2 linked regions of the Nothobranchius furzeri genome follow. The protein of the gene in region 1 purifies or fractionates together with the protein of each later gene. This does not show direct contact. Links are inferred from orthologs where the notes say so. Each region holds a gene or a part of one and is shown in the gene's direction. Other genes may lie near its edges.

Region 1 (5,181 bases):
CCCTTGTTGGGAGCGGACAATTCGCCGAGCGTTTGTGGGGGGGATTAATATTGAGACTTTTTGTGCTCTACATTTAATGCATTTATTTCTACTCTGTATGGAAGAGGATTAGAGCCACTGACAAGAAATAAAAGAAAAGGAGAATTCTTACTTTTTTCTCAGAATTCTGACTTTTAATCTCAGAATTCTGACAGGGAATTCAGGGAAATAAGTCAGAATTCTCTTTCTTTTCTTTTTTTCCTTTTCTGTGCCTGCAGCTAATGCTATAATTAATAACATGTTTGTTGGTTTGTTTGTTTTCATAAGCCCTACGCACTGTGCGTGATGCGCATTTGGGGAAGCGCAGGCGCTGGCTTAGCGTGAGAGTTTGGAGGTGTGGCGTAAGAGCGTGTGAAGAGGGTTAAATGCATCGCAAGCCTTAGGGATCACAAGTCGCCCACTTTTGAGCATGTTTGGTTATTTAACGGCGAGAAACAGTGGAACATGTTTTGTGTAACTGTATAAAATATGAGGAAAGAAGAGGACAACTCAGGGAGATATTAAAAAACATAGGAGGTGGAGTGATAAATGTAAAGAATTTGTTAAATGGTGAAGAAAGGCATTATAAGTTGGCTATTGAGTATCTAAAACACAGTGGTTTGTTGTTGAATAGAATTTAGTTTTTAGTTGGGGTTTTTTAGAGAGGGTGCTCGCTGCAGAACTACAAAGGCGGAGCTGCACCATAAGGTGGAGCTGCACCAGAGTCAACCCCGCCCATTCACGCAAACTCAGCCTAGCCCACTGACTTCCGTTTTTGTTTTCAACTTTATCGCAAACTGACCTGACCCACATGAATTACGGCTGTTACTAGTTTACAGTCGTTAATGCTATGTTCTGTGCTCCAATTAAACAAGATAAATATAACTTGCTACATGACAAAGTCTGAATATATCCCGAAATAAAAAGGTTTCTCGTAGCGAATATCTGCCCACAGCCGCTCTAACAAAAGTCCTGTACAACAGCATGTACCCTTCCTGTGGGTTCTGGTAGTCCAGTGGCAAGATCGTCTGACTAACGTTTTGCTTTCCCCTCAGCTGATGCTGGTTCGATTCTCGGTGGGGTCGGCAACAATCTATTCAGCCAGCTGAAACATTTAATTTGTTCATATTTTAGTTGTAATGTTCATTTATAGCAAAATATTTATGTCTCTACAAGTTCTTTGAATTTGGTCGTTCCTAAACAGCATTTTAGTTGAAACTCTGCTCACAGATGGACTCACACTGGCTAAATAAACGAATGAATAAATAAAAAAAACACATTAGTCATTATATGTTAAACGGCATACCAATAAATTGTTGTAAACATAGTACTGGCAAGTGTAGCTAGAAATGAGGAAAAGAGATTATAGAATATTTCCACTGCTGGGAGGCGAACCTGCGCAAAACTGCATGTCAACCTGACACCATTACCACTACACCACCACATCTGATAAAAATCAGGTGGCGTTACATTTTATTATGTTATTTGGTGTGTCTTTGTAGATGGGATGTATGATTTTTCTGGCGGTGTCTCAGTAGAAGTCATTTCAGAAATAAATTGTCAGAAAATTCACAGAATATCCAGATTTGAGAACCAAGACCAGACCCACTTTGGGGGAGGAGACCAAATTGAAGCTGAGATGGGAAGAAAATGCATGAATGAGGCCAAAAATGGCTTTGGCGTGTTTCTTATGAGGAAATGACAATATAACATGATTAAAAGTTCCAAAAGTTAGATTTTTAATTATATGGAACCTTTACAAAAACTGTTCAATTAACTTCTCAACTCCCTCCTCAATCTTGCATTTTTTAGCTATAACACCCTCTTTGTTTCCAGAATGCTATCAAGTCTGACAACTGGAAGGAATTGGACTGACTCCGATAGGATGGGCGGGGCTGATTCTGGAATGGGCGGGGCTGACTCTGGTGCAGCTCCACCTTCTGGTGCAGCTCCGCCTTTGTGGTTCTGCAGCGAGCACCACTTGGTTTTTTACGCTCTTACTCCGACTCACACTCCAGCACAGTAGGTGGCGGAAATGCACCTAGAAGTTAGATGCCACCCGCCAATAAACACGAAGAAGACGAAGAAGAAGAGTCACTCGTCTGATTGGTGAATTCACCTGGCGCGAAACCGTTGGACCAAGTTTCGAATTTTCAAAGGATTTGATCACGTCGGCGACCATAGGATTAGTCTGGAGCTGTTTTACTACTTGTTCAATCCTCATCTTTTACGATATTAAAAACAACACGAATTAGAAAGATGGCTGAACCGCTGAAGGTAACTTCAAACCTTTAATATTAGCAGCGTTGAGCTAGCGTGTTTGTCCTCGTAGCCAAACATCAACTGTTAAAAAGTGTCCAAGCTTTTGTTTTAGCTTCATGTGTTAACAGCTTTAGCTACGTAATATTTAGCATAATAAAAATAATATTTAGCAACGTTTAGATGTACAAATGTATTCGGCCTTCTTGTAAAGATGACACATATATGTCGAATAAAATGACTAAGTTTCTAACGCCATCTTTTACGTTGCTAAAACAGGGTACATTTGACTATAATGTATGAATTTCCTCTCGAAGCAAACAAACACAGTTCAATTAAGTCGTTCAATTTTACCAAACTATCGAAAAGTTGTCCCAACTAAATAGAAAACCGAGTAATTGGAAAGATGAGGCTTAAATGGCGACTCGCGCTAAACTTGTTGATATTCTGCTCCTGAAGAAGCCTCGAAAGATATTTGATGACGCAGTTTCGTGTTATTTGCACATACGATTATTTTTATTCCGTTTGTAGCGTTAAAATCGTAAAGCTCCGTGACACTCTTCGGTCCAGTGGCGTCACATGCGTTGATCTGAAACCTAAATAAAACCGGTCCTGTTGTGTACATTTGGACGGTAACTGTGACATTTTTCGCAGGCCTTTTTAGAAAACAAGCCGGTGGAGAAGACAAAGAAAGATCCGAAGCGAATGTCCGTGGAGAGGATCTACCAGAAGAAGACCCAGTTGGAGCACATTTTGCTCAGACCAGACACCTATATTGGTTCTGTTGAGCCTGTCACTCAAGTAAGAACAGCCCCACCACCATTTTTATTATAATATATGTTCATTTATTTAGGCACGTCTCTCGGAAACATTTTATTTTATTTTGGTGTTTCAGGAATCATGAGTTTAACTCTTTTCTTTAGCAAATGTGGGTGTATGATGAGCTTGATGGCCTGAACTGCCGTGACGTGACGTTTGTGCCAGGGCTTTATAAGATTTTTGATGAGATCCTTGGTGAGTAGGCGCTTTCACGAGTTTTAAATGTGTGCCGCTGGCCAACAAACACCCTTTAACCATTTATTTTGTTCCTTTGTAGTAAATGCAGCTGACAATAAGCAGAGGGATAAAAATATGAACCGCATCAAGGTCAGCATCGATGTGTGAGTATTCTATAATACTACCCTTTACATTTAAATGCAGTTAGTGATTTCTCTGACTGTTTTTTCACCTTCTGCCAAAATGTGTGTTTGTTTTTAGTGAGAACAATACCATCAGTGTTTGGAATAATGGGAAGGGGATTCCTGTGGTGGAGCACAAAGTGGAGAAGGTCTATGTGCCCGCCCTTATCTTTGGACAGCTTCTTACTTCCAGCAATTACGATGATGATGAGAAGAAAGTCACTGGTGAGATCAGATTTAGGTTTTGGTTACGTGTTTGGCGTGTCACAGTTTGCCTGGGCAGTTCCATGTTGGGTTGCTAATAAGAAGGTAATGGAAAGCCACTTAAAAAGCTGCATTGAGTGAGAAGGGGCCAAAAGTGAAGCCAGAGATTGTATAGAAATGATCCCCAACTCCGTTTCACTGTTCTCCCTGCTTCAACACACCTGATTTTAGTCAGCAGGAAATGAACAGGCTTCTGCAGAGCTTGATGAAGAAGTGTGTTGGATTAGGGAAACAACTAAAACATGCTGGATACTGGCTCTAGGGGGAAGGGAGTTGGGGATCACTGGTATAAAATGACTTGTTCTTCAGGTGGTCGTAATGGATACGGTGCCAAGCTCTGCAACATATTCAGCACCAAGTTCACAGTGGAGACTGCCTGCAAAGAGTCAAAGAAGGTTTTCAAGCAGGTGAAAACTTGAAAATACATTGACCTTGTTTACGACTTAACTTGTTATTGTTCTAATTTGTTAGAGGAAAATCCGTTTCTACTGTACTTTCATGTCTTCCACAGAGCTGGTATGACAACATGGGCAGATCAGAGGATGCCAAAATCAAGCCCTTTGATGGGGAAGAGTATACGTGCATCACCTTCAGGCCTGATCTCTCCAAGTTCAAGATGAGCACCCTGGACAGAGACACCGTGGCTCTGATGACAAGGAGGGCATATGACATTGCTGGATCTTCTAAGGGAGTGAAGGTGTTCTTCAATGGCAAGATGCTGCCAGTAAGTTTATATGATGATCAATAGGCATGTTGTTAGTACTTTAACTCATTCAGACTAAAAGTCAAAACTATCCTGTTTTAATGGGTTAATATCACCTAATCTGAATGTAACATCAAAAGTGGTCAACTCGGAGAGTCTTAGAATTGAAATAAGATTGAAGTTGGCTTCTTTAAGATGAAATAAAGTTTTTCAGCTGCTGAAAAGAATCACTGTTATGTTAAAGAGGTGGTCAGCAAAAAGATCAAGTACAGCTTCTATTGTGTTTCATGGCATTGGAAAATGTCTTGTGACATGGCCGAAGATTTGGGGTAGCTACAAAATGCTGACCTACCAGAGTACATTACATCCACTGGCCACTTTATTGGGCACACCTAGCTAGTACTGGGCTGGACCCCCTTTTATTTCAGAACTGTCTTAATCCTTCGTGGCATAGATTAAACAAGGTACTGGGAACTTTCCTCAGAGATTTGTCCATATTGACATGATGGCATCACACAGTTGCTGCAGATCTGTCGGCTGCACGTCTATGATGAAAATCTCCCGTTCCACCACACCTCAAAGGAGCTCTGTTGGACTGAGATCTGGTGACTGTGGAGGCCATCTGAGTATAGAGATCTCTTTGTCATGTTCTAGAAACCAGTCTGAGATGATTCGAGTTTTGTGACACGGCTCATTATCCTGCTGGAAGATGGGTACACTGGTCATAAAGGGATGGACATGGTCAGCAACTACACTCGG
Region 2 (5,064 bases), on another chromosome or scaffold:
GTCCATATTAGAGCTCCACAGGCGACTGATACAACTAGCCTCGTATGGAAGACAGGCGGTCCGGAGCTCCGTCTAGCTTCGGGGGTTAGCTTAACTAGCTAGAAGCTACATTGGTTCATTTGTTCCCACCCTCAAAGCCCCTCCCTCAGCTCCACCTCGTTTCCCATTTTTGGATTGTCTAAGCGTGGCGAGACGTGTGACACAGCCAAAATGGCGATGGTGGGAACTTCCCATTTTCAAACAATTAGAGAGATAAATTGGCGTTGCTCTGTCCAGAAATGAACATGTGTCTATGGCTCTGGCAAGAGCAACACAATTACAAGCATTTCTGTTTTATCATTTAGATCATAGAGCCTGCAAAATCAAACAGACAGAATGATCACCAATGCCGGCTACCTAAATTTTCCTGACACGGGATAACTGACCATCAAAATTAAACCAGTCTGTGAACTGGTCCTCTACCCCCAGTCTACCAAAAGTTGGAAAAGCAACAATCAGGAGCAGATATTAGATCTCATGGATCAAAATGGGGAAACAGAAAGTTGTCGAGGATAACAGGACACATCCAACATGTCCTCACATAAAATTATGGTTTCTTCAGGAGCTGTGATCACAAGATCAGGTGCAAGACCTGATGGTGGGAACAGACATAGATTTTCCATCTCAAAGGGAGAAGAACAGATGATGAAATGTATGAATTCTACTTGCATCTCAACTCAAAAGTGTGCTAATTTTCAAACATGTCAAATGCTGCAACAAAGTTCTTTACTTAAGCTGCTCCCCAGGAGAAAAAATAACCCTGTCTTAGTTTTGGGTGTCTGCAATGAACTGTTTCCTAGAGGAAAATAAAGATGATAGAATAAAAATTTATGTTTATTAATATGGTTCTAAGTCTTAATGGTAATCCTAGAACAGATGAAGAAAACTGGACTTCATGGTTTCGTGAAGATATTTAACTTCTCATCCAATGAACTTGATCAGTTCTTTAAATAATGACTGACATATGAGGGGAAGTGTCTCTTAGGTAAACGATTATATACGTGATTGCACAGCAAGGCCTGCATGAACAGAAGCATAATCTACTTTATGTGTTTAAAATATCATTAAACTCAAAAGTGATCAAATATTTTTCCTCCTGGAAAATAATTAAAAAAACTGAGATTGAAGTTGACTACAACATCTCACTATGGCCCGTAAGAGTTTTGAAAAGGCGGGCAGACATACTCCTGAAGTCTGTAAAATAACGCAAAAAGTCAAATAAAATAATAACTGATCAATTATTTAATAGTTTGATGTAATACACTATAGTAAATAAATAAAGCCTCTTTTTACTCTATTTTTTATTCATTTTTTTGAGTGTTGAAGGTTTCAGTAAGAGTCTATGCCTTTGTGTATTTATGATTTTCCTATTTCTCAGGGTGTATGTGCTGCCTTAACAAGTTAATTCTCCCACTGTGGAATAAATTGTCTATTCTATTCTATTCTATTCAATTCTAATGCTTCACCAGTAATTAAATGCTTCAATAAAATTCTGACATTTAAAATTCTAACTTCAAATAAAATCTTACATACCGTATTTAACTTTTGACGTATAAGCATGTTTTGAAACTACAGTTGCAGTTAAACACTCATCCTTTAGAGGGCACTGTCTCAAAAACAATAGGATGATACAATCGGCTTGAGTCTGCGGTCTCGATAAAGAATAAAGTTCACAATTATGGAAAAAAACTGCTTAATATTATAAACATTATACAAACGGTTAAAAATAAAAATGAAAAACTGTTGGGGGAAGACAATAAAAAAACATAACCCCGCCCATGCGAGGCACGCCGTGAAACGAAATAAACGCACTAGCTAATAGTGACGTTACAGACCAGACTAGCTGCTTCACGTTGTTGTAGAAGCTAGCCACCACTGCGCCAACGAAGGAGCCGATAGGATCAGCGCTACGTACCAAAAACATTCTACTTACTCTGGTAATTTCAAATATCTTGCAAAGTCTAAACTTTAGCAAGTTTGTTTGATTTCAGTTTAGCCATTGTGCTAGTTGTCAACGTAAACCGCTAGCCGGACGTTAGCATACTGAGAGCCTTCGCAGCCCCGGATATTGGTTACAAAGTAAGCCTTTATCCAGGTGGATTAAATATGAAGAAAACATTTTTACGTATTAATGACAAACTGGATGTTTTATTTTAGTGCTTTCCTTGTCTTATGTCCAAAATAATTGCATAACGTTCATGAAGTACAGCTGAGTTTGTTATTTACGTTTATTTGCAGCAGCAATTGAATGTTGCATTCTCGCGCCCTCCAATCTCTTCCTCCAAGTGGATTTCAGTGCTGCCCCCTTGTGGTATGAAGTTATATTACAACAGCCCTGATGGAAATAGTTGCGTTTCAGGTTATTTATGGAGGAAAACGTGTTGAATTTTTACATAATTTGTTTGTAATGAAAAATATGTGTAATACGCCTGAGTAGGTAGTTTGTTTGGAGCAGTAAATAAGTTTGAAGTCATTATGGTTTATACAGTTATGACTGCAAGTGACTAGTGAACATATGCAGCCATTTCCTCATGTTTTAGTGTGACTATTCCTAATTAAAGCCATGTTATCCGCAATCAAAACAGATTTAATCTTGTCTGTACCTCTAATCTCCCAGATAAAAGTATAGATACTTGCCTGACATGCTCATTAATGAGTACATAAATGCCTTTTTGATCCCACATTTTACAGCCATGTTTAGAATCTTTGTTGCAGCTTCAAAATCTTTTTTTCCCTTCCTGTAAAGATGTCTTCACCGACCCAAGGACACGATTCTGAGGCTGAAGAAGTGGAGTTTGTATCAGTAAGTTACGTGTATCTTTAACAAGCACTCAGGACAACAAAAAGAAAATGTTAATCCGGTGTAACAACCAAGTTTCCACCTTTTTGATATTGATTGGACACATTTTGCATTGACCTCTGCGTGGTGCGTGGTGATCAGTGTAGAGTGACATTTAAACTATGGTTATTGCAGCAAACATTCAGGTTTCAGCTCACTTTGCTCGTCCTGCAGGAAGGCCCTCTTAGACCAGTGCTGGACTGTATCGATCTGCTGAGTGACAGCGATGACGAGGGTTGTTCGTCTCGGGCGGTCACGGTAAGCATCTGAACAGATAAACGGTTTGTTGGTGTTCGTTTCTTCTGGAAAATGTTCTCATTTGATGTCCTCTGCAGCTTGAGGACAGCGTCACCCGAAACAAAGCACGGGTCATGTCCACGCTGGACAGGCTGGCACATAAAGTGGCTCAAGAGAAAAAGGAAAGAGCAGACAAATGTAAAGCATTCAAGGTAACTAAAAAATTTGCATTAAGTAGTATCCCCATTTCATGGCATTGTATACGAAATAGTGTTCACTTGGAAAAAAATATATAAAAATCTTTTTTTTTAAATCAAGAGATAATAAAGATAGAAAATAAGTAAATAAGTCACCTGCTGTTTTCACAACATAATGTTCTGTGCCTGTAGGCGTCATTAATTGGCTGTTTCATTCACTTTTACTTTGTTTTGGGATTGAGACACGGGGAAATAATCTCGTCTGGGTAGGATTATCATTAGTTTTTCGATTTTGAGCTGACATCTGAGGAATTAGCGTTTGTTTGGGCGCAGAGCCCCATCGGGTCATCTGACTATAGTCTTATTCACGTATATTTTTAGTAGTAGTATAAATACTAGTAAAACACTATTCCTAAAATACATCTCCCATATTATTTTGTTGATGCCAGCACATGAGAATGGTTGAGTGATACTCATGGAACAGAAATATTTTTTTCCACATTTTGTGTTATTAATTATTTTAGACACGATTTTTATGGTTTTATGTTACGAAGCTGCAACTGGGCATTATTTAATTCATTTTCAACCACATTTTGATGGATTTTTTTCAGAGATTAAAGGGAAAAACTACACATTGTCACTTTTTAAAGTGTCATTTTTTTTACATCATATTGAAAAAGATGCTTAAATATTATAGAAGCAGTTATCAGATGAAGTTTTAATTCTAAACGGTTAACATTCACAGTGGTTTTGTTTCATCTTTATGAATCCAAACAAACTGGAAAGCTAAAATATTTAGGTGAAATTAGAATATATTTAACATTTTTTATCACAAAAAATATGAAAATGGTTAAATGTCAAATAGGTTAGGGTCTGAATAAAGGCTGATTTAGCTGCAGGGACGAACGTGCCACCTTGTGCACACCGTAGATGTTACATAGACAACATAAATGATCTTCAGGAGTAAAATAAGATAAAAAATAATTTTAATATTTTGTTACTATGATTGCTCAAAAAACTTAAAACAAGTCATAAATGAATAAAGTTGAATGAGTTGAAGTTTTTATTTAGTTTTTAATGATGTCTGCATAATCAGCAGATACTTGTGTTTTGTGAGTCTGTAAAATAATATTCAGACTTCTAACATAGCAGCTCTTTTTGATTTTCAGGAAAAACAAATCATGCAGAAAGCTCACGGACAGCGCGAGCTGGCTGTTAGTTCTCCAAACGGGCGGAATCAGGAGGCAAAGCACTGTGTGGACATGTGGTTAAAGATGCCAGGTGACTTTTGTAATCCTAATTTCCTAAACATTGTATCACTGTTTTAGGTGACTGATTCAATTAATCCGATCCATCGTTTGTTTAGGCCTTAAACCTGGTGGGATCGGTGCTGACTGGGGCCGAAGACAGTCAGCTGCCGATTTCTCTAGAAACGCCTCAGCTCGACACACTTGTCCAGTGATCAATTGTGGCCGCGTTTATGACAACATTTCCCTCCTTGGTGGGCACTTAAAAAGGTAATCCCATTACTCTGCTGTTCGCAGCAGCTTTTATTTGGAGTGTTGGCCGATATTTTCCACCTTTGCTGATCTTCGGTCCCTCGTGTGCAGGTTTGATCACTCTCCCTGTGACCCATCCATCCATCTCAGCGGGAGTCCGTCGGAGCTCTTTGCTTGCGTTGCCTGTGGTCGGCATTTTCAGACCAAAGAAGAGTGGAAGAAACACGTTCAGTCTAAGGTGATAACGAAACAT

Evidence for each region.
Region 2: the proteins of top2a (region 1) and znf451 purify together in Homo sapiens (affinity purification with mass spectrometry; 3 studies listed by BioGRID and IntAct, with this or other methods). This does not show direct contact. The link is inferred for Nothobranchius furzeri from reciprocal best matches to the Homo sapiens genes TOP2A and ZNF451.

The regions. Positions count from the first base shown.
Region 1 is NC_091756.1:31,455,061-31,460,241, reverse strand, and holds the start of top2a (DNA topoisomerase 2-alpha), read left to right. Parts: upstream 1-2,046; 5' UTR 2,047-2,277; coding exon 2,278-2,295; intron 2,296-2,931; coding exon 2,932-3,078; intron 3,079-3,200; coding exon 3,201-3,291; intron 3,292-3,373; coding exon 3,374-3,437; intron 3,438-3,534; coding exon 3,535-3,680; intron 3,681-4,028; coding exon 4,029-4,126; intron 4,127-4,230; coding exon 4,231-4,443; intron 4,444-5,181. UniProt on the Homo sapiens protein: Key decatenating enzyme that alters DNA topology by binding to two double-stranded DNA molecules, generating a double-stranded break in one of the strands, passing the intact strand through the broken strand, and religating the broken strand.
Region 2 is NC_091752.1:19,659,876-19,664,939, reverse strand, and holds the start of znf451 (E3 SUMO-protein ligase ZNF451), read left to right. Parts: upstream 1-1,849; 5' UTR 1,850-1,976; intron 1,977-2,785; coding exon 2,786-2,842; intron 2,843-3,052; coding exon 3,053-3,136; intron 3,137-3,213; coding exon 3,214-3,327; intron 3,328-4,481; coding exon 4,482-4,593; intron 4,594-4,678; coding exon 4,679-4,829; intron 4,830-4,922; coding exon 4,923-5,064. UniProt on the Homo sapiens protein: E3 SUMO-protein ligase; has a preference for SUMO2 and SUMO3 and facilitates UBE2I/UBC9-mediated sumoylation of target proteins. Plays a role in protein SUMO2 modification in response to stress caused by DNA damage and by proteasome inhibitors (in vitro).